3 linked regions of the Oryzias latipes genome follow. The protein of the gene in region 1 purifies or fractionates together with the protein of each later gene. This does not show direct contact. Links are inferred from orthologs where the notes say so. Each region holds a gene or a part of one and is shown in the gene's direction. Other genes may lie near its edges. The genes, in order: ribonuclease P protein subunit p21, rpp30 and rpp40.

Region 1 (9,686 bases):
CTTTATAGACACATGAGTATTGCCCCTTTTCTCATGGTTTTGGACCCCTGTAATGATGAAAGAATGCTTTTTTTCCCAGTGAGTGGTTGAAGCTGTCCCAAAAAACCTCCTGTTCTTATTGTTCTGAACCTTTTCATCCCCAGTGTAAAGAAGCAGTTGAACTGTGTTGGTTTCTGTTGGACCGTACCATTTATGAATGTCATGTGCTTTACAGGAACTATAGTCAGCATCGGAGATCCCAAGAAAAAGTACACCAGATATGAAAAAATTGGTCAGGGGTGAGTACTGATGCTGACAAAGAAACGCTGACAGAATAATGAGTGCTAGAGTGTGACTGGATGTTTGTCATGCTCCTGTTATTGTAGGATTGCAGCATGTGAGTTTATGTTGGTGAAGAAGCATGACGTGATCAGTAAAACTGTGTCTTCTAGTAATCATAAATGGAATGTGATCATTTAGTGATGGCTTCCTAAACGCTGTAACACATTGTACTATTTCCCAACTCTAAATAGGACCAGATGATTTTTATTTTCAGAAGACATATTTTATTAGTCAAGCGCATCCTCCTTTAACAGAATATAAGGTTGACCGGGACAAATGACAGAAACCATGAAAAGATTCCCATTTTAAACCAGTCTTTGGACTGGTTTAAAATGTTGTGGATGTTTGTGCTTCGACTCTTTTTAATCAAGCTTTGTCTTAGTGCAGAGAGAAATGATTAAAGCTTCTTAGATGTGAACTAAAAATGTTGCTGTATTTTCAGGGCATCAGGAACCGTATTCACAGCCATTGACGTTGCTACTGGACAGGAGGTAAGCCACTAAAGTGAAAGAAGTTAAAAAGGAATAAGCTGAAGCTCTACCATTAATGTCATTTGGAAACTGGTCAAATGGTGCAGCTTGTAACAGTTCAACACAAGTGATATCCAGGACCAGGCTGTGGGGGAAGAAGTCAAAGTAGAGATGCCCAGACTTTCTTCTTCACTGCCAATTCCTCCTCTGGAGGAATCCTGAGGTGTTCCCCGGTCAGCCGAGGACTTGTCTTTCCAGCGTGGCCTGGCTCTCCCACGGGGTCTCCGCCTGGTGGGACAGGGAGGAGCATGGGGCCCCTAAACCAGATCCCTGAGCCCTCTCAGCTTGCTCCTCTTGATGTGGAGGAGCAGCGGCTCTACTCTGGCTTCTCTCCAGGTGATCAAGCTCCTCCCCTTACCTGTAAGGGAGCGCCCAGCCAGTCCACGGAGGAAACTCTTTTCAGCCGGCTTGTCTTTGGGACCACATTCTCGTACACAGAGCAACCTCCACAGGACGCTACAAGGGTCCAACATCTTCTCCAATTCCACCAAACTGGATGAGCGATAACTCAAAAAACTGGATGACCATTTTATGTAGAATGTTGAGCTGATTCATAGTTCCAAGACGAAAACCGGACTGTTGTTCCTGGATCGGAAGTTTGGCTGAACTCATCTCTCCAGGACTCTGAAATGGATTCTTCGATAGTTGGAATACACTCTCCCGTCTCCCTTTTTGAAATGAGGAACCACCACCCCAGTCTGCCAGTCCAGTGGTACAGTTTCCAACTGCCACACAATGCTGCAGAGACGTGTCCACCAAAACAGTCCACCAGCATCCAGAGACTTGAGCCCTCCAGGGTGGACTTCATCCAGCCATGGCGCCTTGCTGCTGAGGAGCTTCTCAACTACCTCAGTGACTTCAGAAGAACGCCGGGTACTCCAAACTGTTCTTTGGCCCTCAGGCCAAAACCCACAGAGAGTTATCCCCTTCTAGAAGGCGAAAAGATTCGACTCTCTCGTACAGTGGCTTTGTGGTAGAGTGTCCGCCCTGATACTGGAAGGTCGTTAGTTCAAATCCGAATGACACCAAAGACTTTAAAAGTGGGACCCAGTGTCCTGCTTGACACTTACCATAAAGATTGGGGGGTTAAACCACCAAATGGGTCCTGATCGGTACACAGTCCCGAGTCCCAAGTTTCACCTCCCCCAGGGGGGGAATCAAATGCAGAGAACAAATACAGCACCTAGGTGTGAGACAATAACTTTGGTGGCTGAGCTGAGGGCTCATGAGAAAACTTCTTCCTATGTTTACACAGTACCTCTTGAAACATTTGAAGCTTCTTCACTTCCAGAGTGGGGACGTTTCATGTCCCAAAGGCCAGACTTAATGGTTGTCCCACTGAGGCACCCGCCGTCAAGCCTGGCCAAACCACATTGCACCGGCTCTGCTGCAGGAGATGGGAGATGGCAGGGCCGCCAGGAGGGATCCCGCATAATCACTTCAGGCCAGGCCTAACCGGGGCCCCCTGGCTAGGCTGCTATTCCCAAACCCAGGCCTGGCTCTGTGGTGGGACTGTTGTGACGCCAATAAAGGGGCTTTAAACTGCTCTTTGTCCGGCTGGTCACCTAGGACTTGTCTGCCTTAGGAGATCCTATCAGGGCCTTTATCCATAAGCTTCTTCCCCCCTGGGATTACTCGAGCTCTCAAACCCCTCCGCCATGGTCCATGGAGGAGGGAACGTAAAATGTAATTCTGTTTGAAATGATCCAGTTTGTGTTACTTGATGGGATTGCAGAATTCAAGACATTTTGCACTTTTGACAGAAAACGATCAAATGTACTATTTCTGAATATTTAAGAACTGGCATTTTCCATTTTCAGGTCGCGATTAAACAAATCAATCTACAAAAGCAGCCGAAGAAGGAGCTCATTATCAATGAGATCCTAGTGATGAAGGAGTTGAAGAACCCCAACATCGTCAACTTCTTAGACAGGTGAGGGACCTTCAGTCTGCAGGGCAACGGCTTTCTTTGGGAGAATTTTCATGCGTTGAGGTGAACGGTATTCATTTGTCATTTGGATCAGTTTCCTGATGGGGGATGAGCTGTTTGTCGTCATGGAATATCTTGCTGGTGGCTCCCTGACAGACGTCGTCACCGAGACTTGCATGGATGAAGCCCAGATAGCTGCTGTTTGTCGAGAGGTGCGTTTCCTTCTTTCATATCATAGTATGGAGCTCATTGTGCTTCCACTTTAAGTGGAGAATGGAACAGAATCACTCCTACATGCCCTCTGCCTTCTCTCTTTTAGTGTTTACAAGCTTTGGAATTCCTGCACGCAAATCAAGTGATTCACAGAGACATCAAAAGTGACAACGTCTTGCTGGGAATGGATGGATCCGTGAAGCTTAGTAAGACGTTTGCCCCAAATTAGAAGCAACCAACTGCAACAATGACTACATCCAACCACCGTAACTCCACATTTTTCTGTCTGTGTTTCTCCAACAGCTGATTTTGGCTTCTGTGCCCAGATCACTCCAGAACAGAGCAAACGCAGCACCATGGTTGGCACACCTTACTGGATGGCTCCTGAAGTAGTGACCAGAAAGGCTTATGGGCCTAAAGTAGATATTTGGTCACTTGGTATTATGGCGATCGAGATGGTTGAAGGCGAGCCTCCATACCTGAATGAAAACCCACTGCGAGTGAGTTCAGTGTTGCTTTGCATGTTGCCTAAAGTCAATAAAAGGATCTTAAAAAAATAACCGCTAAGCTTAGTGTGACTCTATGCAAAGCTGTGTGTCACGCTTCTCTGATGTCCTTGTGTTTGGCAGGCTTTATACCTGATTGCTACAAATGGAACCCCTGAGCTTCAGAATCCAGAGAAGCTCTCTCCAGTTTTTCGAGATTTCTTGAACCGCTGCCTGGAAATGGATGTAGAGAAAAGAGGAGGCGGCAAAGAGCTTCTGCAGGTTCAGCTTCCACCCATCGCCTGTTTTTCTTTTCAACTTACGGTTTTGGGTTTGGTCTAATCCGCTTGTTGAATTTTGTTCTTCAGCATCCGTTCCTGAAGCTGGCGAAGCCCCTCTCCAGTCTGACTCCTCTCATCCTGGCAGCCAAGGAGGCCATGAAAGGCAGCCGTTAGCTGGGAAGGCCCGCTGCGCCGGCCTCCGGCTGCGCAGACGCGTGCCAACCGTTTCAGTTTTTGTGCCAGACAATAGACTGAGTGGCTCGCCTCTCTGTGACGCATCAGCCTTATAAGCCCCGACAAACCTCACTGTGAAGAAGACCAAAAATCAAGAGCACGACTGTTCACTCGAACTCTGATTCAGACTGAAGTGCACCTTCTCAGTCGGGCGTAGTGGACTTTGTGCATCAAGGTCGGGCTAGGTTTGTATTTAACGTGGAAGGAAGAAGATGCCTAGTTCTGTTTAGTTTTTTAATCAGCTGCCTTAAACAAATGCAAAACGTTTCCTAATGTATTGTTGATTGTGTCACGTCTCCCTTCCTGTGATTTTTACTACATTTGTAATTTACCTTCTCAGCTTGTCAGTGTCTTAGTTCTTTTGATACTTGAATTTCATTTTAGTTTCCCCATTTGGTCTGTGAAGTGTTTCATTTACAGAGCACTTGTCATTTCTTGACTGCTCCATGTTTTGTGGGCGTTTGTCTTTCAATGCATCGTGCGTGCTGATGGTGTTCTCTGACCGGTCCACTGTACCAGTTCAAGCCCCGAATAGTTTGACTCCTCATCCCAAGGGCGCACCTTACTGGCCGTTAAAACTTTAGATTGACAGGGTTTGTACTCTTTTTGCTATTCTTATTAAAAAAGGAGTATTTTATGTCTGTCATTTTTTCCATCCACGTTTAGGGCTGTTAAACCAGTCTTTAAAGGCCCAGCGTCCTGCTTTTTTCCCCTGTTCCTGCTCTTGCTGTCTTCAATGGAACATACCTGGTCTAGGTAATCATAGGTAATTGGCAGTAGAGAGGACAGAAACATCACACACAAAAATCCCAAAGAAGGATGTGTCCCTAAAGCAGGGATGGTCAACTCCAGGGGGCCGCATTCCTGCGTGTTCTCCAACATACCCGGCTCTGGCATGTTCTAATTGGCTGCACACCTGAACCTGGTAAGCAGTCATGAATCAGGACTTGGATATCTGGAAGTTGCCAGTCCCTGGGGCTGGGCTCCCACACTTTTCTTGTCCAAACGCAAAATGCCAAAGCAATTAGTTTGTTAGTGACTATAATGAGTAAGCTGTAAAGGACATTTTTTTCTTTTATTCCTTACAGCTTTTTACTGTTTTTGCGCTTTAATAAATATAACTTGTTGCCTTTAAGATCTGGGCGACAAATATAGTTTTCATTAATATTCTATAGACAGGGGGCTTTTATTTTGAAGGATCTCCCCGGATGTGCGTCATATTAGCTCACATGCTAACTTAGTCGTAAGTCTCCCCCTGTACAGACTGTCCGGGGTTTTGTTTTGAGTCTGTAAGTGATGGCTCTTCAGTTAAAAGACAAAGAAGCGCACCAGCGACTTAACTACCTTTACCAGGTACGGAGCTGACCGGAGCCATCAGCCACGTTGCTAATATTAGACCTGAACGGTGTGACTCTGTCTTCACAGGCTGCTCATTGTGTTTTAGCGCAAAACCCAAAGAATGTGGAGCTGGCTCGCTTCTACTGCTTCACACAGAAGACGATTGCTCGACGTTTGGTTCTCAGGCAGTGAGTAGTTTGAATCTCTGCATTTTGAACGGTTCAGGGTTTTATTGTGGAGACTAGTTTGCGTCACTTCCTGTAGAGTTCAAACGTCATTTTCCCCATTGATTCATTATCTCTGCTTTGTGATCACGTGAGCTTTAACAAACTTTTTGCATATTTGGTTTGTTGTATTCAGTTTGTATTTTTTTGTAAGCGAAATATATTTTTTTTAATTAGAGATTCTAAACAAATACTTCTTGTAAAACTAGAAATCAAAAATGTCTGAGGCTGGTTAAAGTTAAATGAAACATTATCACCACCTATGACAACTCCTGAAGTGAAACCCAGACCCGACCCGTCAGTCAAGCAGATAAGAACAAGTCCTAGAATCAGAAAAGTGCTTCCAGGAGACATTTAAAGATGGTTTTGTGTGTCTGCTGCAGCCTCATGGACCCGCCTGCTTAAAGGTGTGGTGATCACATGACCTATTGTCACCATTTCGTTCTTTTTCTAAATGCATATATAAAGTTGGGTGGATTCAACACAGACGTTCGTCTAACACTGTGAGGCTGAGCTCAGTCCTGCTGGGTCAGAATGGACTGAATGGACCAGCGCTGTGTTTGATTGCAGAGACCCGTCTGTGAAGAGGACGTTATGCAAAGGCTGCTGCACGCTGCTCATCCCAGGAGTCACTGCTACAACAAGACAACGCAGTCAGTATCTCACAGAGATCCTCAGCGATGGGGGTGGTTTTCCCTTTTTTTAATCATTTGTTGTTGTTTCTAAAGGAAAGAAGAGAAAGACCAGCTTCACTGTGGTCAGGTGTCTCAGCTGTGGTCAGACCAAGACTTTTCAGAATAACCCGGATTACCGTCTATGGGTGGAGCGTCCAGAGGCGCAGTTGGAGCTGCAGGAGCAGCTGGGTGGGTGTGAACGGCACTGACCTGTCTGTAAACCTGGAGCAGTCATCGTTGGTGACGACCACTGACCAGGGGGGTATTCCAGGAAGCATGTTTAAACTACCCTGACTTTAATCCTGAACTCTGGCTGAAATCCGCCTGAACTTGCTTACTCTGGGTATGTCGGTTCCAAAAGACCGGATATGAGTTGGCGTAATTACGCTCGACTTGGTAACCCTGGGTTAATGCACGGTACATAAAGACATTCTCAATAGATCGCCGATTTCTGGAGTCACCATGGAAACGCGTGGAGAAAAAAAAAGAGCGCGACACTTGAGACGGAAGTGAGACGGAGTCTGAGATTTAAATGACGGCGGTTAAAAATTATAAGTCCATCAAAAAAGTAACACGGCTGAAAAATAATTTAAATAATTTAGTTTAATTTTTTCAAACTCAATAATTGTTTACACAACTCAAATGTACGTATTTATCTAACTAAATGTCACATTACTTCATTAATCTTTTTTCCATCTTAATTACTTATATTTCTTGAACTTTCATATGTCTAAGTTTGAGCCGGCAGATATGCTCATTTTTACAACAATAAAAAGAACGGAAAAAAATGCACCGAGTGCAAAAACTCACTAAAGAATTTTCCGTCACTGTCATAACAGCACTAAGCGGTAGGGGTGCTATATAAAGTCATCATCCTATCCTTTACTCTCACTCATGGTGCAGAGACGTAAGCATAGTAGGACAAAATAGCTCGGCCAAACACGGTGAAACACAGTAAAACAGCTATACAACTAAATACATTTAGTAAAAAACCCACACTTAGACCCAAATCCGTCCAGACAGGCAAAGGGAATGATATCCCAGAATCCCTTGCGGTGCCGATCTAACAGCAGCATCAAAGTTACACCTACTTAATTGAATTAATTTGAACGAAAGGAAAATAACTGTCTGAAAACTACGTGTAATTTTTAACAAAAAAAATTCTAACAAAAAAATGATTTATCTTAACTGAAGCAAATAATTACGTTAGATCAAAGTAAAAAAGTTTATCTTTCCAACATCCATATGTGGTCTCATCATCCTCTCTTGGTGGAAAAAGTATTATCTGAGCTTTTTCATCCACTAAATCATCTTCAAATGGACACGCCATGCTGCTTCACCTCTCTGTAAACAAACTAACCTTCAACTAAACCTGCTCCAGACCAGGTTATGTTCAGAGCATGAGTTGCCATGGTAACTTGACCTACCCTGAAACATACCTCCATTTCTGGAACCGAAAGCTGAGGTTATCAACTTTCTTAGCCTCAAACTTATCGTGGGATAGCATAACCTGGGATAGCATAACCTGCTTTCTGGAATACCCCCCAGGGATTGCCGTCTCTGTCTTTGCCTTAAAGCGCGGAGACTTCAGTTTGGGTTTTCTTGCTTGCGTAAACGGGAGTTGTCATGAAACTGAAGCGTCGTGTTTTTCTGCAGCCTCTGCTGCTTCCTTTCCTTTTCCTAACGCCTGCCTCCACATCCGTCTCACTCTCCCTTCGCAGGCTGCTCCAGAACTTAAAACAGGACTAAGAATTAATCATTTCCTAAACATAAAGTTCGCTTTAATTACACTAGGGTTTGTACAAGCACACCCCTGTTTGCTGATGGAGTACTCAACAGAAGTCCAATCATAAAAATACTGTCTAAGACGTCAGGCTCTCAGCTTCTGTTTGCTCAGCTGCTGCACAGGGAAACGGGGACGAACATTCGCCTCCTTCACCGCGTGAACATTTGTTTTCCGGTGGCTGAAGCAGTTCTCGGTCTCTCCCACAGATCCAGGCACGTCTGCGAAAAACCAGCCCAACATCCCAAAACCCCGCACGCCGCAGTCGTCCAAGCCCGCTTCTGGTCAGTGTTCAGGCAGCACGTAACAGCCGGACGCCACCTTTCTCCAGTGCTCCTTCATTCTAGGTGTCTGTTTCGTCTTTGACTCCACATTAAGTTTCACTCATTATTTGATAAACACGCTGGAGATGTTTCTTAAATATGGTGTTATTTAAAATCAGAGACAAGAATGGATCCTTTGACCAGTTTTCTCATTTATTTCTCTCTTTTTTTTTTTTTTTTTTAAACGCGTCTAAAATAAATGCATTGGAACCATTGACTGTGTCCATCATTCACATTTTTTTCTTCCCCGCTTTGTCTCCTTTGGGCACTCTGAAGCGTGTCTTCTGGGAATACAGGAGGTTTTTGGCAAAGATCCTGGGAATGTGGCCCATGTAGAAGAGAAGAGCCAGAGTCATGCCTGCGAAAGAAACGTGACCCTTTAGACAAACGACAACAGCCGTGAACATGCAGCGTTCTGGGTTGTCTTAGTAAGAAGTGGACTAAATAAAAACCTTACCGTCAGTCCCACGTTCTAAATGTCATTACAAAAACAACCCACTCATCTGTTATCACCTGTTACCTGTTATGAGCCCATTTTGAAGCTGTTTTTAACAAGACAGTGAATTCTGACTTGATCTGATTGTTTCTCAGTGTTCCAGATTAAAGTATTCGGTGCACAGAAATGGAAATGCACTCGAGGCTGCTGTGCCTGAAGCAGTGAAGCAGTTCCCAAAAAGCTCCTGGAGCGGAAAGTTACTCCAACATCAAATGTTTGTTTGAAGGCAAATTTCAGTTAGACGCAAAGCTAACTGCAGGCTGACATTAGCGGGACTGACATCTATCAACAGAAGGAGACTGAATCAAAAAGATGTAAAAAAAAAAAAAAATCTTTATTGGCCACTTTATTAGTCCCACCTGTCCAAATTACTCATTATTTCTAATCAGCCAATCACATGGCAGCAACTTAATGCATTTAGTCATGTAGACATCTGTTGTCAAGACGATCTGCTGCAGTTCAAATCGAGCATCAGAATGAGAAAGAAAGGTGATTGAAGTGTCTTTGAATGCGGCATGGTTGTTGGTGCCAGACAGGCTGGTCTGAGGATTTAATTAACTGATCTACAGGGATTTTCACCCACAACTATCTCTAGGGTTTACAGAGAATGGCCCGAAAAATAGAAAATATCCAGTGAGCAGCAGATCTGTGGGTGGAAATGCCTTGTTGAGGTCAGAGGAGAATGTACAGACTGGTTCCAGCTGATAAAAGGACAACAGGAACTCAAAGAACCACTGGTTCCAACTGAGGTCTGCAGACTCACCAAAACTGGACAATAGAAGATGGAAAAACATTGTCTGGTCTGATGAATCTCTATTTCTGCTGCCACATATGGATGGTAGGGTCAGAACAAC
Region 2 (9,748 bases), on another chromosome or scaffold:
AGCGCAGTCAGACCGGAGCCCAGCAGAACACAAGAACCAGGTGTGAACGGGCGGCACCGACCCATGTCGCAGAAGCCGGCGAGGGCGCTGTACATCCCACGAGGGAAGGACGCCTGGCGGCCCAGCAGGCAGCGGCTCCCGTCCGACAGCAGCACGATGACCACGGGGGACATCTGTGAACCACAGGCAGGCGGGTCACGCTGGCCCCTCCCACCAGAACATGGGGCGTTTGGGACAAATGATTCTTTTAAATTTAACAACCTGATCTTCCAAAGCTCCGCCCCTTTAGGTTACAAAACTGATGATGATGTCATTCTGTACGAATGATGAACTCAGGTGACTTCACTGAGGCGTGTCTGTTCACACACCTGTTGCAGGAGTGACTGCGGCACGTGCACGCACATACGTGCACAATGTGGTCTGCACATGATCCAGTTTCAAACCAGACTGGAGGTTCTCCATCTTCAGGTTCTGTTTGGGACAGAACCTCCTCCTGCAGGAGAACACGCCCAGCAGCCCAGCAGACCGCAGCTTTCTGAGGAGCAGGCGGTGAAACTCCGCCCCCTGCTGGTCACCAGGAACTGCAAAGGATGTGCTCAGTTCTGGTGGATCAGAACCAGCGCAGGGAGGAAAGAAAAATCACCTTTGGATAGTAGATTATGGAGCTGCTGCTGCAGACCCTCTGGCTGCCGGCCCGGTTCCGGTGAGTGGGCTGGCCCGTGGCGCTGCAGAACCCGTTGGTCTGATGCCAGCGCAGCAGAGCTTGAGCCTGCAAGAGAGACCGACATCAGAACCAGGAAATGGACCAGAAACAACAGAGTTCGTGTTTTTTTAGCATCCTGGACTGGGAGAGGAACCAGAACCGCATGTTGGGTTCCAGCTGCTGACCTTGGCCACCAGCTGGGCCGCAGGTCCCGGTAGAAGAAAGAAGGATTTCCTCAGGTCTATGAAGGTCCCCGCACAGAATTCTGCTACTGCCGCCTGGTCCAGATGTCCTAAATGAAGACCAGAACCACAGAACCTGTATGTCATGGTTGAGGGAAGGAAACACTGGTGATTCTGTCAGGCGATCTTACCAACATCCAGGCAGAACTGAGCCTGGTTCTGTTCACTGCAGCCAATCAGAATAGAGTCTTCTAGCAGAGGTCCATCAGAACCAAAGTTCTGGAGGAGTGATTGAACTCCTGAAACAGGGACACAGCAGTCTTAGCTTTCAGTATTAGGTTCTCGTTCCTCCTGAGGTTCTGGTACCTGAGCAGGTGAGGGTGACGGGTCTGAAGGTTCCGGTGGGTCCGCGCTGCAGCAGAGGCTGAAGGCGGTGGAACAGAACCAGCTGACCGTCCTGCAGCGCCGCCGCACACGCCTCGTCCTCCTGCTTCAGCCGGTTCAGGAATCTGGACCCAGTTTGTACATCAATCACATCAATCGGGTCACTCGATCAATCAGTTTGGGTTCCTGACCTCATCCTGGACACAAAGCTGGAGCTGAAGCGGGTCAGACCCAGAACCTGAGGTCTGGCACTGAGGATCCCCCTCAGAGGGTTTAGGAGGAGCATCGTTCTGGGTCCACTAGTCAGAACTGGCCTGGTTCTGTTGCCTGCAGACAGGAAACAGGTCAAAGGTTCTGCTGGGGTCCGAACCTATTCTAACAGACCGGTTCCTATCCACATGGACTCCCGGTAGACTCGGGAAACAGATGTATGATATGATATTCCAAACATATAGCCGAACCGGAACAGACCTGACCCGTTCTGTGCTTTGGGGCAAAGTTCTAAAGTTTGACAACACCGAGTCACGTGTTTCACGCGATGTTCTTTTAAGTCAGCGGGAAGATTTCAACGGACCGGTAAAACCGAACCTTGGGATTCAGTATCAGAATAGAACCGTGGTTCGGCTCGGTTCGTGTCTTTTCGTACCTGCAGGTTGCTGAACGTCTTCCTCGGCGGTGCCTCACAGAGCGAGATTGACGCGCGCACCGCCCCCTGCTGGCGGGAAAGGGGAACGTTCCGCTCCGGACCGGAAACTGATCTGAGATCAGAGTTTTTATTATATATTTTATTTTTTATTGAAGACACAAACTTGAGGTTTACAATCTTTGTGGCAGTTGTCCAAGGTGTTTGTCAAATTATAATTAGATATAGCATAGAAAAATGTAAACAATTACAAAATTAGGTAAAAGAATATGGTTTGGTTTAAAGGAATCGACATTTGTGTATATAAAATGTACCCAGGATAGTTATAACATTTAAAACGATTTCTGTGTTTTTGTTTTCTAAAATAAACCCAAAAATGATTTATGGAAAAGTCTGATAGACATGGAATCTTGGGGAAAAGCCAATAACGTATATCATCGTATCAACGTATATCCTAAAAGGCTTTAGAGTAAAAACATTAAAAGAAAAGATGCTCAGTTGTTTTAATATCCTCATTACAAAAAGAACAATTTTCAGGAATTCCGTTTTCTGAGCAATTCTTTGTAAGGGTTTAGACCTGAAAAGGGTTTGAAAAGTGGACTTTAGGTTGAGATCAGAGCGACACGTGAAAAGAAGATAAATAAAAACATGTAAAACTGGGTGTGAATGCACAAAGTAGACCAGCAAAAACACACAAAAAAGGTTATTTCATGTGTTTATTTATAAGTTTCAAGGATTAAAGGGGTTATTGTCATTGTACAGTTAGGAAACAGGTTTTCCTGAGATGCTCACTTTGCTTTTCGCTCTGAATACCACAAGGTTAAAAGGTTAAACAAAAAGATAGTGTACGATATTTAAAACTCATCATTTGCGGAAAAAAGATGATAAAGGAGAACAATGACAATAATCAGTGAGAAACAAACCAGATAATACCTGAGCATTAACTGAATTAACAGTAGGGCTGCACGGCATAAGCAAAACTTGCGATATTGGTGATTAATATTGCGATAACGATTGAATTTACGGTATATAAACAAATAGCAAAACTACCAAAAAACATCATTTCCATTTTATTGCAACAGTTTAAGAATTAAACTCCCAATGACATCAAATCCTTAAAGTTTTACAATTTTAATAGATTCTTGGTAATTAAAATAAAACAACAGTTTTGACTGACAGCTTCATTCATGCAGATGGTGAAAATTGTTCATTCCAGTCAAAACTTCAAACCTCCTTAACTTAACATCCATCTGAAATTCAACGCTGACATCATGTATGACCCTGAAAGAGTCCAGACATCATCGTGGATTTCTGTAGCATATTTACACCAACATTCACAGTGCAGCAAACCTTCTGTTTGATTGATGGGGGACCATCCTGATGATAAATGATTCATCTGTTGATTTGACACTAAGACAAATATATTGATTACAAAGCAAAGGTTTCTGAGGCACAACTAGGACTCCTTAAAGGAATAAAAAAAAAAAAACATAACTTGAACTTATCCAGTGATGAAAGTCAGGCAAGGAAAAAATCCCTGAACTTTTCTTTGAGCGATATGGCGGGCACAGAGCGAAATTTTGGAAAAATACGTGGTCTTAGATGCATTCTGGTGCATTCTGGCAGCTAGTTATTCACTTCTTTATCAAAAAACTAAGACTAATTGGAGCATCATGATTTGTCATTCAAACCCCTAGTTTGACTCTCCATTAAGGACTTGCTGGTCCTAAAAAAGAATTTGGAAAATTGCTCAAAGTAACACAATCCTACAATCTACGCTTTTCCTTAAAGCTGCAAAACATACAATTGCTAAAATATAGTAACATCAAAGCCCCAAATGGCAAAAAGAACACCAGTAACTATGATATTCTATGAAAATACCTCAGTTATTTATACATTATTTCTGCTTTAGAAATGACTGATGTACAACATCCACTTGCACTGTTTTCTCAAACTATAATTACATCAAAATATGGGATCTGCTTTAAACTATAATTCTATAACATAATACATCAATTCTTTAACACCAATACTAAGTAATCTGGGAAATATCAAAACAAACATACAAACTAAACAAAACATTGTAAACATTATTTTTTAAGGGAGTGCGGGTCCAAACCATCAAATACTTATAATTAATGTCAACTATACTGAACTAAATCATGGTAATTAGGAAATACAAATAAATTAGATAAAGAAATGTATTCAAAATAAAAACTGAAACTCAAAACTAAAATTGAAATTATTTCAAAATGTGGTTTTGAGATTATTTTACACAAAAAAGTATTTGACCTACACTACCTTAAAAATCTTTTTTTTTTTTCCATCCAAGACCACTTCAATTTGTTTTTTATCGTCTTCTCACAACTGAGGTCGTGACCACGCTCAATAATGACGATGCCTGCCATTATTTTAACACAAATTTGATCGCAAACTCTACAGATGTGTTTGTGAAAGTTTAGCGTGGGTCCGCCAGTTTTGGTCTCTAGGGAAGCAAGTCACGCTGACCACGTGGTGCAGACAGAGCCAATCAGACCCGTCGACGCATCCGAAAGCAACTAAAACGTCCCGTCATTGGTCAATTAGGCCGGGAAGACGAGAGATGGCCACGACCATAGAGGAAACGATCTGCGGAGAAATATAGAAAATAAAGCTAAAATTAGCTGATTTCAGACCATTTTTTAATCCGGAAAGCGATTTGTCCGTAGAGATCAGGTCTTTATTTCCCGGAAAGTACGTTCGGTTTGCTCAAAAACCCGGATTTCCGGGAATTCCCGGAAGACTTTCATCACTGCTTATCAAACAGAAAAAGACTGGACACTAGTCCTGGATTTATCTCTCAGTAAAATAAATGGTTTCACGTCAACCAATTGCTGTGTAACCCCCCCCCCCCCCCCAAATAAATAAACAAATAAATAAATAAAAAAAGGAGCATGCATAAGACTGACATGCCAATAGATGTGTAAATAAAGATGAGATCAACAAAGAAACAAATTAACCAACTATAAATAAGTGGATAAAATAAAAATGAATGGGGATTTCAAAAACTGACATATTGTCAATAATTAATTTTTTCAAAGATAATTTTAGGTTAAGTAATTCAGAAATCCAGATGAAGAATAAAAAACTGGGCTGGTCTCCCACCATCGCGAGAACCCAGTGACGCCCCTGCGCAAACGAGACTTCAACTCCCATCGGCCTTTGGGGTTTCCGCACGTGCAGCGTCATGGCGGTTTTCATGGACCTAAATCTGATGTTTTCGGCGGACCGGACTCGAATCAGCAAACTGCTGGAGACGGCGGCTCACCGTAAGTTACCCCCCGAACTTCCCGGTTCTGTGGTTCGGCAGCTTCGCCTGTTTTAGCAGAAATACCCGGATGTTTTAAAGATAGCTGGCGATTCGAATCGTTTATTCCCCCGCGCGCTGCTTCCCATTAAACCTCCGCGTGAAAAGTCCTTATGGAGAAGAACCCGGTTCGGACGTGACCAGAACTTCCTCCTGTTCGACAACCTCTGCTGCTGACGTTCCTCGGGGTTCTGCTAGGACGCTCGTGTGGCTCACCTGTGCGCATGCGCTCTAAAGCCTTCTTCTTGTCTTTGCAGTGGGTTTCTCCACCGTCGCCATCAACTACATGTTCGAACCGACAGCCAAGCAGAAGCAGGTCAGTCCACCCGGAACCACAAACTCCCACCTTGACGTCATGGCTTTTACTTTGAAAGTCTCAGCTTCCTCTGCAGGAAATTCCTGTCCCTAAACCAATCAATGAGCTGATTGATCAGCTGCCCGTCGTGCAGGGGCGCTCCCGCCCCATCAGAGTATTGAACAGGCTGACCGTGGTGGTGTCCGACCCCAGTCACTATGTAAGAGTCTGTGCTGAAGTATTGATCGGAATCAATCAGCTGATCGATCCAAACCTTCTGTGTGTGTGTGTGTGTGAACGTGTTCAGAGGCCCAACGCTCCAGAGTATCGCCGCTTTGACCTCCTGGCGGTGCAGCCCACCTCGGAGAAGCTGTTCCATGTGAGCTTCACTGATGTGTTCAGTGTCTTCAGGAGATTCTAGTTGTGGTTTGTGTTAGACATCAGTCATTTGTTTGTGTGTGTGTGTGTGTGTGTGTGTGTGTGTGCGTGCAGGCGGCCTGCATGCTGTACGACATCGACATCATCTGCATCTCCGTCACCGAGAAGCTTCCTTTTTTCTTCAAGAGAGCGCCGATCAATGGGGTGACCTCTCCGCCGCCAGGCCTTCTCGTTGTCGCCGTTGTGCGACTGCATGTGTGCGTTTTTCTGCATGTGTGCGTTTTTCTGCATGTGTGCGCGTTGCTGTGTCCAGGCCATCGACCGCGGAGTCATGTTCGAGGTGTCGTACTCTGCGGCCATCAGAGACTCCACCATGAGGCGCTACACCATCGCCAACGCCGCCAGTCTGACGGACAGCTGTAAAGGGAAGGTGGGTTCTTTGCCCCGCCCACTCTGAGGTGACATCATCACTCACCTGACACATCTGTTGGTCTTTCAGAACGTGATCCTGTCCAGCGCGGCAGAGAAGGTCAGTGTTCTGAACTTGCCCACACCATCACACTGCCACCCCCGTGTTTCACAGTGAAAGCTGTTTTTACTCCACCTGTTGAACCTCAATGGCAGACCTGAGTTTTGGTCCTCTCAGGCTCCCGTAGTTTTTAAAAATCCTTTGTGTTTTCAGGCTTTGGAGCTGCGAGGACCGTATGACATCACCAACCTGTATCCTTTGATCATCACGAGTGGGTGGGGCCCCGTCACAGCAGCCGCCCCCCCACAACAGCAGTGTCTGTTTGTTGTGTTCCTGATGTGCGTCTTCAGAGGTTTGCTGTTCGGTTTGTCAGATGGAGACGCAAAAGAGGCCGTCTCCTCCACCTGCAGGGCGGCGCTGCTGCACGCAGGTGAGGACGGACGCCATCCCAGGCTCTTCCTCTTCCTCCTGTTTAGGGACAGAGGAAGCAGAGACTTTCAGTCCACGACTTGTGGACGGATCCTGGATGTTAATTCCAACCCGTGTGTGTTTGTGGTCAGAAACTCGGAAGACGGCCAGCGGGATCGTGTACACGGCGAGGAGCCAGCAGGAGGCGCCGTCGGATCCTCCGGAGGGTCAGTTCTGGTGCAGAAGTGAGCTCAGCATCCGAGTATCTGATAAGAATGTAACGTCTACCTGTGCAGGTGACACTCCTGCCGCCAAGAGGGTCAAGACCACCTGATTGACAGCTAGGGAGGCGGGGCCAGCTCCGATTTCTGTGACTTCATTATCATGAGTTTTTCTTTTTTAAATCAAGTATTTAAAAAAAATTTTTTTGGACAACTTTTGTATTTTTTTGGAAAAATAAAATTGATTTAAGAACCTCCCCCCCCCCCCTTAAAAAAAGGAGTCTTATTTCAAAATCAAAGCGTATCAAAGCTTTTATTCTGAAATCTACATTACAAACGCTGTTAGTCTTGGAGCTTGACGATAATGAAATAAAGTTTAGGAGGTCGTTCCTTCACATTCAGATTGGACATACAAATATAGATATCTTTATAAAAATAGAAATGTACGAACAGGAAGACTAGTGAACATTTCTGGATTCATATTTCATTAATCGTACAAAGATGTAATTAAATTAAACATTTTTTAAAGTTAATTCAAGTCACTAAACAGAATTTTTCCCTTAAACACCACAGAGGGAGGAGTTATCCTGAGACCAGACTGAGGGGAGAAACACCCTCCCTGGTGAAATAGCCCTTTACTGTTAGAGGTCAAAGGTCATAGCAGTTTCTTTGGACTGGATGGATTAAACCAATCAGACGAGGAGGGCGTGGCTTAAACTTACTGAAGCAAAAAACCTCTAATAGCCTCAAACATCAGAGTGTTGCAGAACAAAATCAAAAGTAAACACAAGTGGGGTGGACGTCCCGACCCGCTGGAGTTACTGCGAGTCGATGGAGGAAGACGATGATGGCCTGAAGCTCTGGCAGCAGCTGCTGAAGAAAAACCCTCAGGTGGAGTTTAAGAGTAGTTTGATGGTTGAAGGTTCAGACGAGTCCTCCAGAGACTGCAGGAAGTTCTCCTCCTCACTTCAGAGACCCATGATGTGGTTGATATGACCCTAAAAGCACAAGAACCAAGCAGTTGACTCCATCTCCCAGAATTCATTTCACTAATAAAAAAGCCAAACTTAGAGGTGCTAAAGCTGATGAAGAAATTACCGGCTCTCCTCCGAGACATCGGGCGCAGCAGATGGTAGGAGGTCTGAGATGAACGGCACGAACCTGCGCACACGTCAAGGGACCTCGTTTCTATGGCAACAGCAGCATCACATGAAGCTGAGGCTTCTGATCTGAACGTGGAACCTCAGGGAGGTTCTGATGGGAGTCAACGGGCTTTTTTTGTTTTGTTTACGTCCATCTGGCCAGAATGTTGACTTTAATGAACAACATCTGCAGCTTCAAGCACTGACCTGCTCCTGCTGACTGGTCACCGTGGCAACGCAGGACGTCTCCATGGGACACTCCGCCAGCTGCAGAGCCGCCTCCATGCACAGTCGCTTCTGGATGCAAACATCATCAGTGTGTTCAAACTTCTGCTTCATTTATAGAAACATCTGCAGGAACTGACCCAGACCCGAGTGAAGCGGTTTTGAAGCTAAGTTAGAATCACAGACAAACTCCGTGACAGCCAGCTGATTGATCACCTGATCATAATAACGACCCCACCCCCTCTACTTTCCAAATGACAACCACCAACGTGAACTTCTGGAGCCGTGAGATCTTCAAACTGAAGATTTACTTTTCCTTTATCTGGAACCTCAGAAGCATCAGAACATCCGGGCCCAGAGTGGACTTGGATGGGTTCTTAGAACCGTATAAATCTGGTCCAAACATCGTTCTGACAACAGAAGCAGGAGATAAAGGTAAATAAACGGTTGGGCACTTCAGCGGGCAGCCCAGTCAGGGTCTTCAGTCCCACTATGGAACCAGGAAGTGGATGTTAAACAAATCAGCTAGCTAACTAAGGTTTAATCAGCGGAAGGACAACTGACTGATTATTATTACCTGATCAATCAGGACTGAAGTCCACAAACGTATTTTTCTCTCACCTGCACTGGTTTACAACTCCAAAGCTCCGCCCCCTCCTCCAGGAACCGCCTCTTCAGCAGGTTAGCGCCTTCCATGCTAACATGTAGCTTACTGGCAGGAAAACTTTCGCGTTCGCGCAGTGACCGGAAGCTGGCTGTGTTTACTGCCGGTATACAAACAAATCCCCGTGAAACCGGGCGGGTCACCGGTTAGCCACTCGCCAGGCGACTGTGGGCTCCCTGCAGCTCTGGGTCACGGAACCCTCCGTCCTTCCGTCGACCTGCAGACTTTAGTTTACAGCGGGACACATCCGGTCCAAACACGTTCTGGCCCTTCACAATAAAAGCACAGATGAAACGGTCACATTGTCAAAGTCGGTTTAGTCTTTGAAATTATTGTTCAAAAAACAATGAAATAAATTTCATAAGATCCCACAAATGTATCTATCCATATATTGACCTCTCGTTCTACCGTTCAATCGTGTTCAGTTCATGTTTAATGAAAAAAAACTGAAAACAATATTAATTAATACATTATAATTTCTGGAGAGACCGACCAACAAAACATAGAGTTTAAGTTTTGCTTTTTTGTTGGAAAATTTTTTAATATCTCTAAACAGCCACATTTAGGTGTAAATTTTTGCTTTTAATTTGAATATTTTAATCTGGACCGGAAGTCATACTTCCCCCTAACTTCTTTATTTTGACCTTTTCCGCCATTCCCTTTTTCCACTCTTTTTCAAATACAGTGA
Region 3 (9,768 bases), on another chromosome or scaffold:
GGGGTGAATCTAAAAACAGAATAGAAATGCTCAGTCAAAACCTGATATTTGACCGTATCAAAAGCAGCTGTTAGTCTGCAGACATGAGCATTAGACCTTTTTAAAAGAGCAGCCTCTGAGTGGTTACAAAGTAGACCTTGAATACGGAAAAAATATGAACAGACCAAAAACTGGAAAGAATTGGAATATTAGATCTTCAAGAACAGAAGACATTCCAGAACAACAACAGACGTCGTAGAGCAGAACACCCTCTAAAACACTAGACATTCTAGAACAAAAGATATCTTAGAACCAAAACCTTCCAGAGCAGAAGACTGACTAAAACAGTTATTATCAAGAGCAGAAAATCAAACTAGAATCCACTCGAAAACAAAATCCATAATAGAACAGCAGACTTCATAAAATGGAAGATAAAAAAAAAAGAATTTCCAAGAACAGAATGTCTCCCAAAACAAAAGACCTTCTAGGAACGGAAGACAAAGTAAAATCGAGGATCTCCTGAAACAGCAAAACGACTAGAACAGTAGACCATCAAGAATGGAAGACCTCAAAGAACAGAAGAACCAAAAAAGCTCTAGAACAGAAAACCCATTAGTCCAGAAGACAATCTTAGAACATAGGTCTTTTAGAACAAAGACCTTCAGACTATGCGACCAAAACAAAAATCTTTGCAGAACAAAATGTTTTCTGGAATTAAGACTTTCTGGAAAAGAAGATAGTAGAATAATATCTATCATTGCCTTGTTTTTTAACCTATTTATGTGTTTCAATAAAAATGCTAATGTAAACAAAAACATCAACAAAAACAGTGGTAGGTTAACTTTCTTGTATGAAATTGTGTTTGCCTCTAAAAATAAACTCCATCTTCTCTCATGTAGAGGAAATCAGGGCGGGGCTAATACTTTTTCACACATCCATAGGAGATTATTCAGAACTATCAGCCATCTTCTTACTGGAGATTGTTTGACCTCACAGAGGGGCAGACACTTTTTAAGGTCACACCATGTCGGACAGGAAAACCAGAACTAGGGCTGCACGATATGAGGAAAACTTGCGATATGCGATATTAGAGATTAATATTGCGATAACGATATAATTTGCGGTATATAAAAAAATAGAAAAATGCCAAAAACACCATTCCCATTTGATTAGAAACAGTTTAAAATTACACTCCAAATGACCCTCATTGACATAGGTGACAAACATCTAACATAATAGGCCTCCATCTGATTGGTAAACAATGGGAAGGCGTCCATCTGATTGGTCAAAGCATAAAGGGATTTATTTGATTCGTTAAATGCTTCAAGCTGCTAGAAGATTGTTTTAACACATTTTGGGTTTACGATTTATTGCGATATTCGCAGTCTTTTGCGATATGCCTATTGCAGAGCTGGATATTGCGATAACGATAAATTTGCGGTATATTGTGCAGGCCTAACCAGAACCCTCCACAGCTGTGGTCTATGCATGTGAGTGTGCACGTGTGTGTACCCAGGTTGATTTTGTGTTCGTATTTCCTCAAAGCTTTGTCAGACGGGGTCGAGGACGAGATCATCTTATTCGACGGGTTCTGTCTGTTTGCCTGAGAACAGTGACAGAGAAACAAAAGGGCAGTGGGATCAGACTCATTATCACTGATAAATAATTCTGAACCGTGACCGTGATGTGACTTCTTTAACTGAAAAGGAACCAATATACCCTAACTGACATTTAACATGGCAACTAAATTTTAATGTATCTGGATCAGAACCTGGCAGTTGAGGCCGCTCCGGTTTAATCTGCTGGTCAGATTGGCAGCAGAATGGTACGCCCAATCCTCTTCATCATCCTCATCATCATAATCATCATCCACTTCGTCCTCCTCCTCATCACTGTCGACCCTCTGCGCAGCGACATCATTGATGAGGCTTGGTAGCAACGAAGGCTCTGATTGGTCTCTGCAGGAAACAGAAAAAGACAGACTGAGAAAGAACCAACAGGGAGGAAGAGTCCAGACCCTCAGCCAATTACAGGGAAGATATGTTCAGGTGGTGTTTGCACCTGAAAATATGTAGCCACAAGGCTACATGAGTAACACTCGAGCAGATCACTTTTGTGGACAAAAACATGTATTTGTGTAGGTAAAATTTGTGCACGTCGCTCTAATCTTGTGATTAGGATTGAAGGCAAAATAATACCAATTATGGTCAAAAAACACATTAAAATCTCTTCAGTTCCTCTATCGTTGGTCCCAAACATGGCTCCCTACTTGTGACAACATTTTCTAATGCTTACACGGCATTAAAAATCTTAAACTGCCACAAATGGATGTTGTTTTGTCAGTGGGTATGAGGCTTTGATGGTTAGAAAAGTCCAAAAAATAACATCTGAACTCAAATAGGCATAACTGTGAGGAGATACAGCCCAGAAACCTGGAGAAGACCCTCTGGAGAGAAGGTACTTGCCCCATTTGGTTACCATGGTAACAGAGAAGGCATCATCTGTCCTCCTGCACCATAAAAATCAAAGTCTTTGCAAGACCCAAACCACAGGAGGAGACAATTGTTCATGAAACACTGAGGATTTTGGATCTTCTGAAAGCTTTGGCAGTCATTTCTTATGGGATCACAGAACCAGGCCGTAACAGGTGAACCTGACAGAAGACACTGTTCTGCTCATGGGGTCGGTTCTTTCTTTTTGGCAGGATGATTTAGGTTCTGACCCGGATTAGACACTCACTGAGGAGCTGGTTTTGGCCTTTCCAGGTGCTGACTAAACTAAACAAGCCAGTCAAAATGATTCATCAGAAATGTTAGTACATGGATAATCGACTACTGGACCACTCAGAACTAGCGTTTGGGCTTGGACCCATACGACCTTTTTTCTGACATGGGGACTAGATTTTTTCCTGACGACACAGACAGAGCGACAAAGAGAACCAAACCAAACCAAACCAAACCAAACCAAACCAAACCAAACCTTTACCTGTCTACCTCAGCGTCATCAAACTGTCCAGGAACGCACGTGACCTCCTCCATGAACCCACAGCCCACGCAAAGTAATCCCGCTGTATTTGGTTGATAAGAAGCCCACCTTCACCGGGCCGCCTTGTTCGGGTGGTATAGAAGTCAACAGCGTGCTGCTCCTTCAACTTCCGGCTCTGATCACGTGACTACGGCGAACAAGAGGGGCCAACCCATTGCGGCTGCGCAGTGCTGCGTTCTGACCAAACCTCCATGTGTTTCAGTTCGCTTCCGGGTTTCTTGCCTTGCCTCCTGCATGCTTTAAAGTGAGAACATTTCCCGAGGCCCCGTGTCTGAGATCGTGCAGGAACTGCATCAGGATGCAGGACCTGAGCCGATGTCCTCGGAACCTGCTGGTCTGTGAGCGGTCCAGCTTCCAGAACGAGAAAAACAGGGTCAGCGCACAGGTGGAGCAAATGCATTTTAACTACAAGGTGAAAATTAAAATATTCAAGTCCGCATGTGAATTAGTTTAAGGAAGCAGAATGATGCATCCTCTTGACAAACTGTTTTTGAAGGCAACATTGAGAGATATATTCCCGTGTTTCTGAAGGCAGCACCGAGGGACATGATACTACTCCTGTCCCTGAAGGCAGCAAAGACTGATGATCTTAAGTAGTGCTTTTAAAAGCAGCATGGAGTGATGTTAAGTTCTTGAAGGCAGCATCAAAGTATATTCTTCTATGTTTAATATTGAATCATAGAGACTGCTGATTGGCCGTTCCGTCTTTTATTTTGGCAGGTCTTTGCGAAATTCAGGAAAATTTAGTTAAAAATTGTGACCTGTCACTGAAACAGCCACGATCTACTGCTTCCTATGCCTGTGCAGGTGTCTCTGCTACTGCCTGATTGTAGCTCCGCCCCCTCCCATCTGGATGAAACATTGAAGTCATTCAACAGTTTTTACCTGATTAAGAAGCTGCCCATCTACAAGCTGCTGAATGAGAACTTCCTGCGGAGTGCCATCTACAACGGTAACAAAACGCCCGTCTTCACTAAACCTAGCTGAGACCTGCTCTCATCTGGTCACATGACTCACCTGTTCCTATGTGCTGCAGGCAGCGTGTATGGTTTATCCCACCAGACTCGCATCGACGAGGATAACTGTGTCTCCCTAATGCCCAACGGTAAAAAGCATCACTTCCTGTTTGTTGTGTGGATCTCCATGGTCAAATGACCCTTTTCATCTGTTCTTGGATCACATGATCTTGTCTGTCTGTCCTCAGGTATCTTGACCCTGTCCCTGGACAAAGACTCTTTTGAGCTGCTGGGCTTCGAGGGGAAACCATCAAGGTTTAACCACAGGCGTTGCAGCAGATTTGGTTTGTTATGCACAACTTAACAATTTCTAAAGCGTTAGTTCACAACGAAGGTGGTGTCAAAGCACTGAGGGGTTTGCTGTGTAATCCCTGTACTGAGCAAACAAAAGCGGACAGTGGAGAAGGAGAAATTGGTGGAAAACGAGGAAGAAACCCGTTGCAGAACTAGATTCCATAAAACCAATCATCTGCTGTGACTGATTGGAGTCTGAAACTACTGGCACACTGGTCTTATGATGCACATTCTTGAATGCACGTTTAGCGCATGGCATTCACACGAGAGAAGCTGGGAGGGGCCTCTTCTTATTTTTCTTGTTCTATTTACTTCGCCACCTACAGTTGGAAGAGGCTTGGTGTGAAATCCCTAAGCGGTGCAAATCTCACGTAGCTATCCAGGCTTTTTCTTTCCCAGCTCTATTCCGACATATGAAAGACTTGGTGTCATATAATTCCGATCGGGCACAAACCACAATTATTAATTTCGCCTCCATGATTAATTTATAGCTGTTAGACAGGACAAGTTAAAAAAGCTTGCCCTGTCCTCTCCGTCACGCAGCAGACCGGCTTTTCCAAACCCGTTGGTGATGGTAGATTTTTTTCACACTGCTTTTAACTTGAAAGCTGCGTCATATGCATTTATTCTTGCATTTTCAATGATGAGGGTCTGTTCGTGCTATTCATTCACAAAGCAGGAATTTACATAAAACTTGTGTCTTCCTCGACACATTTACCGTATTCCCCCTGTCTCACTCTAACCCTCTCTGCTCGAGCGCCCCCTAGTGGCTGTTCGAAAAAAATGCCTTAAAAAAAGAAGGAAAAAAATGCATAAATTAGCCGCATCATTGAATAAGCCGCAGGGTTGAAAGCGTGTGATAAAGGTAGCGGTTTATAATCTGGAAATTATGGTACATAGAGACGCATGTTATGTAAGAACAGAAGAAACCAGCAACAAAATGAGGATCTGACAGAAATGAGTGAGCAGATCCTTTTTCTGTGCACCTGTATGAACTTCAGTGGTAACTGTGAACCTAACGGACAGCTGCATGGCTCCTGGAAGGCGGAATTACCTCAGACTTCTTGAGGGTCTGAAGTCACGCCTTCCGCTACAAACGGACTTCCTGTTGTCACATCATCCAGGTGAGTGACTCCATATTCCAGTTCAGTTCAATTTAATTTGTATAGCCCAAATTCACAACAACAGTCGTCTCAATGGGCTTCATATAGACATATGAGACCAAGCTGTGTCTTTCTCTGTCTTGCAGGGGGTGGGGCTTCTTTGCATCCCCTTTTGTCTTGCTGTGATTGGTCAGAGCACCAACCTGAGGTCAAATTCCGCAGCCTGACCAACGTGTCCTTTCCTGTCCCCGAGTCATGTGACCCTCACAGCTTCCTGCAGTGGTTGGGTGCGGTGGAGTCCGGCGTCAGCGGGTATGGCGTTCTTTCGTCGTTAGCTCATCACACAACGTGGTTGCATGATGCGTGCATTTCTGGGTTTCAGTGAGAACTCGTCCAACAGCTTCCTGTCCTCACTGATCTGTCCGGAACCGAAAACTCAGACCAACTGCGCTCTGAGCGCGTGTGTGAGCGGCATGCTGCTACCGCAAGACATCCAGCGCCTCATTGGTCAGCTCAGGTCAGCTGATGGTACACATTCAAAGCATGTGGGAGTGGGCTTGGTGTGTGACTCGCCTGTCTCGCAGGAGTCACCTGGAGCAGGTCCAGTCCTGGGCGGTGCTGACAGTTCACGGTTTCGCGGACAGCCCCGTGTCCTGGGGAGGGAGAGAGCATGGATTTCTTCGAGGAGGAGAGAACTTTTACAGCCTGCTGATGTCCCACGACCACACCTACCACCTTCACTTGGCTGCCGGCGCACACGATGCCTGCCCACCGTGATGCCACTAACCCATCAGAACCAAGAGAATTGACTGAGCTCAGACAGTGCTGGAGGCCTGACCTGTGGCTTATTCAACCTGTTAGAACTTCACCAGATCAGAACCAGTGTGCAATTAATTTAGTCTTGAAATTCTTTAGTTTGTTCCGGACTAGCAGTTCTGGTTCAACCCATGACTTACTTATCAGCAATACATTGGGAACAGAAGCAGAACCCCTGTTAGAACTAGTGCTTTTCAGTGAGAGCAAGGGGATCTAACCCGGGTCAACACACCTTTTGTGGATAGTTGAGCTGCAGCAGAACCACAGAGGCTGAGAGAATGATGTGTGGAAGATCTGCGCCTGGCATGCCTTGGTAAGCAATCAGGTGGTTTTCTCGACTTTAAAACGTTATGTGTCTGCCTTATTTGTCTGAGGGCGTGTAGGGTCAAATCCACTCTGCTCTCCAGGTAGCTTTTTCGTTTTATACATGTAAAATGGGTGGGCAAATGGTATATAATTTTTTTTCAGCAATGGTAACTAGTTTCATTTATTTTGAACCCTGGAACTGAGTCATTTTCTGACTGCACTTTTGGATGCAGTGCCATTTCCTGCCATGGGGTGGTGCCGCCGAGACGCCATTTTCTTTGAATAAATGTCATCATCGTCTTCACTGAATTCCATTTCCCAGTTACCATGTTGAATTTTGTTTCTCCGACAGGGATGTGCGAAGGGTTTGGGAGCGTCAGGTGAGTTCTTTGTGGACTCAGGTTCAGGTGCCGTTCAGGTTGGCTGCAGACAGAAGCTGGCTTTGCTGATGATTTGGGTTTGAAAGAGCGGGCCGCTGCATTTGAAACAGGTTTTGACTTAATGCTTAATTTCTTTAAAGTGGTTCAAACACTGAGATCGATGGACCTTTTGAGTTGGTTTGCTTAGTCTTTCACGTCTCTTCTTCTCAGACGTGTTGAAATGTTTTCTGTGTTGTTGAACCTCTTTTTTTTCTTGGATTTTGGCTTGATGACATCATTCATTTGATTACATCACAAAGAGGAGTAATGTATTTATTTTATGACGTCATACTCTGTGATGCCATCAGAGAGGTAATCTATTCAGACCATAAATTGTATTTATAAAAAAAAAAAAACTTGGTTAGCAACTTTTAATCTAAGGCATTTTTCCTTTTTAAAGCATAATAAGAATTGCAACGTTTTGTTTTTTCCTTAATGACCACAAGGAGTTGGATGCAAATGCGAGTCAATCTCTTTTTACTGACATGTTTAAAGACCCAAACCAATGAAGATGGTGTTTTTGGCAGGGGTCTTGGTGTGTGGGTGACCAGGCACTCCTCATCTTTTATATCCCATCATGCACCACAGTAGAACACCAACACTCACCTGAGCACAGGTGCTAGCTCACCTTTGCACAAATACTTTGTTTGCATGCTTAAGAATGTACATGTGTGAGCTGCAGTTGTATTGTGTATGTGTTCACGTGTTAACATGCTGACTTTGTGACTTATCATCTGCACCTCACAGAACTGTTGATAAACCTCCAGCAACTTGTTGCTTTTTGTTTCTATTCACTCCCGGTGTTGGGAGTAACGGCGTTTAGGTATAACTGTGTTACTAATGGCGTTAAAATTTAAGTAACGGGGTAATAGAACTAATTACACTATAATACCAAAAGCATTCACTCACCTGCCTTGCCTCACATATGAACTAAAGTACCATCCCATCCCTAACCCATAGAGTTCAATATGATGTTGGCCCACCTTTTGCAGCTTTTACAGCTTCAACTCTTCTGGGAAGGCTGTTCACAAGGTTGAGGGGTGTGTTTATAGGATTTTTTTTTGGAGGAAAATGGTATAGGATATGAGGGATTGCACCGCTGGGGTCAATCAACACACCAGCAGTCTAACGTCTAATTCTTACTTACTTCAACTGGGACCTGCGAAAACTGCTGGAACTGCAGTTAGTAAAGCACGAACACAAAAACCCCCTTTAACCCTTGTGCTATCTTAGATGACCCCACCCTTACATTGACGTGTTCTCCCTACCATGACAAAGGTGGATAAAGGTGAAGAGGATTTCATGTAATCCATGGACACCAGTGAGGTTCACAAATCATTGAAGAAAAAAGGTTCAGCTCACTGTCTAGTGGGTCTAGATGACCCAACTCCCAATGTTAAAGTGCCTAGGATAGCACAAGGGTTAATTGCTTTGTTAGAAACTTTAATTATGGCCCGCAGCAGCAGTCAGACTGCAAGGACCATATTGTTTTCGCAGTTGGAACGACGACTTCGCCGCCTTTCAGCGAGAATGTGACCCCCGCCGCATGCTCGAAAAGTCACCAAAACGTGCATACACCTGGGATAAATTGCAAATGAATTTTCCACAAAGTCAATGTCACCCCCCGGAAGACGATGACATCACGGCCAGCCATCCCGTCAAAAAAATGAATCGGCCGAAAATCGCGTACAAAATGTACTTCCAAATACAGTCGCGAAACCAAAACACACGTGTCGGGGATATCCCAAAGAAGTTTTGAGACCATTATGGGATGGCCACACCACCTACGGCTTGGCGGCCATTTTGTGGCGAACTCTGAGAATTGCCGATTTTTCTGTTTTCCCACGATATGGGAAGACGACACTTTTGTTTGAGCGATTTTCAAGCAATTGCACACACTTGCTGCCAGCTCCAGTCTACAAACACCACAGAAGTGTCGTTGACCTTTGACCTTGGGAAAAGGCCGCCATCTGTAATTTTCTCAAAAAAGCACCTTTAGCACCAGATACAAACGAAAACTCGTTGTTGGAATTTTCTTCAATCTTCTCGTAACTTTTCGGACATCAACGGCCAGCTACTCTGGACAAAATGTTGGAATTAGAAGTTGTAGATTTTGAACGGCGTGCGCGTGGCAAGCTAGCAAAGTGGCGCACTGTTATAACTGCCATGACTTTCAATGCAATAGTGAAATTTGAATGCATGCATCAATGTCAGGAACTGAACACAATAAAAAACACTGGACATGGAGATATAAGGAATGTGGGCGTGGTTAGCATAAAACCACTGTTGCTAAGGACAACAAGAAGTTTACTTTTACCGATTCGTCTGAAACTGACGTCAATCCGTTCGTCCTCCCGAGACGACTAAAATATAAAATGGTTTCTATGGAGATAAAATCAACAGAAAAGCTGCCATTTTGAAAAAAGTGGGATTTTTTTTTATCAACTTATGACATATAGCTCTCACCAATGGAGCAATGTGTTTTTCTGAGTCAGTTGATGATGCTGATCCATATGCTAGCACTTTTAGCCAAATTAGCATAGTTAGCATGATTAGCATATGCAGCTTTGACTAGCCTTGATCAAAGGTGGATGGTGAGGGTGGTGGTGGTGCGTAGAGTTGGGCATGGAAGGCGGGTTGCGTCTGCGGGCCATACAACGCCGCTTGCGGCTTTAATTATTTTTGTTTTTTAGGTCTGTTAAGATTTTGTCGTTCACATATTGGTAACATAGAACATATAAAAAAAATGCATTCATAATATTACAGTTTAGTTTAGTTTCCCCATACTTC

The links.
Region 2: the proteins of ribonuclease P protein subunit p21 (region 1) and rpp30 purify together in Homo sapiens (co-immunoprecipitation; 3 studies listed by BioGRID and IntAct, counting the BioPlex papers as one, with this or other methods). This does not show direct contact. The link is inferred for Oryzias latipes from reciprocal best matches to the Homo sapiens genes RPP21 and RPP30.
Region 3: the proteins of ribonuclease P protein subunit p21 (region 1) and rpp40 purify together in Homo sapiens (co-immunoprecipitation; 3 studies listed by BioGRID and IntAct, counting the BioPlex papers as one, with this or other methods). This does not show direct contact. The link is inferred for Oryzias latipes from reciprocal best matches to the Homo sapiens genes RPP21 and RPP40.

Annotation. Positions count from the first base shown.
Region 1 is NC_019862.2:3,259,891-3,269,576, forward strand, and holds ribonuclease P protein subunit p21, read left to right. Parts: upstream 1-4,982; 5' UTR 4,983-5,290; coding exon 5,291-5,347; intron 5,348-5,419; coding exon 5,420-5,520; intron 5,521-6,126; coding exon 6,127-6,209; intron 6,210-6,284; coding exon 6,285-6,419; intron 6,420-8,222; coding exon 8,223-8,320; 3' UTR 8,321-8,545; downstream 8,546-9,686. Other genes in the region: pak2 (serine/threonine-protein kinase PAK 2), read left to right, coding at 215-278, 764-812, 2,672-2,784, 2,876-2,993, 3,101-3,200, 3,298-3,494, 3,624-3,761, 3,848-3,934; aquaporin-12, read right to left, coding at 8,567-8,694. UniProt on the Homo sapiens protein: Component of ribonuclease P, a ribonucleoprotein complex that generates mature tRNA molecules by cleaving their 5'-ends.
Region 2 is NC_019877.2:1,033,526-1,043,273, forward strand, and holds rpp30 (ribonuclease P protein subunit p30), read left to right. Parts: upstream 1-4,873; 5' UTR 4,874-5,138; coding exon 5,139-5,220; intron 5,221-5,474; coding exon of another isoform or gene 5,475-5,484; exon of another isoform or gene 5,485-5,515; coding exon 5,516-5,574; exon of another isoform or gene 5,575-5,584; intron 5,585-5,638; coding exon 5,639-5,773; intron 5,774-5,860; coding exon 5,861-5,932; intron 5,933-6,045; coding exon 6,046-6,135; intron 6,136-6,244; coding exon 6,245-6,361; intron 6,362-6,430; coding exon 6,431-6,460; intron 6,461-6,613; coding exon 6,614-6,830; intron 6,831-6,960; coding exon 6,961-7,035; intron 7,036-7,104; coding exon 7,105-7,142; 3' UTR 7,143-7,287; downstream 7,288-9,748. Other genes in the region: nudt13 (nucleoside diphosphate-linked moiety X motif 13), read right to left, coding at 62-173, 644-769, 889-995, 1,077-1,184, 1,252-1,394, 1,461-1,596, 5,475-5,484. UniProt on the Homo sapiens protein: Component of ribonuclease P, a ribonucleoprotein complex that generates mature tRNA molecules by cleaving their 5'-ends. Also a component of the MRP ribonuclease complex, which cleaves pre-rRNA sequences.
Region 3 is NC_019875.2:13,399,312-13,409,079, forward strand, and holds rpp40 (ribonuclease P protein subunit p40), read left to right. Parts: upstream 1-3,204; 5' UTR 3,205-3,322; coding exon 3,323-3,436; intron 3,437-3,831; coding exon 3,832-3,976; intron 3,977-4,060; coding exon 4,061-4,129; intron 4,130-4,228; coding exon 4,229-4,324; intron 4,325-5,335; coding exon 5,336-5,458; intron 5,459-5,583; coding exon 5,584-5,749; intron 5,750-5,819; coding exon 5,820-5,954; intron 5,955-6,021; coding exon 6,022-6,214; 3' UTR 6,215-7,753; downstream 7,754-9,768. Other genes in the region: riok1 (serine/threonine-protein kinase RIO1), read right to left, coding at 1,492-1,582, 1,751-1,937, 2,965-3,017. UniProt on the Homo sapiens protein: Component of ribonuclease P, a ribonucleoprotein complex that generates mature tRNA molecules by cleaving their 5'-ends. Also a component of the MRP ribonuclease complex, which cleaves pre-rRNA sequences.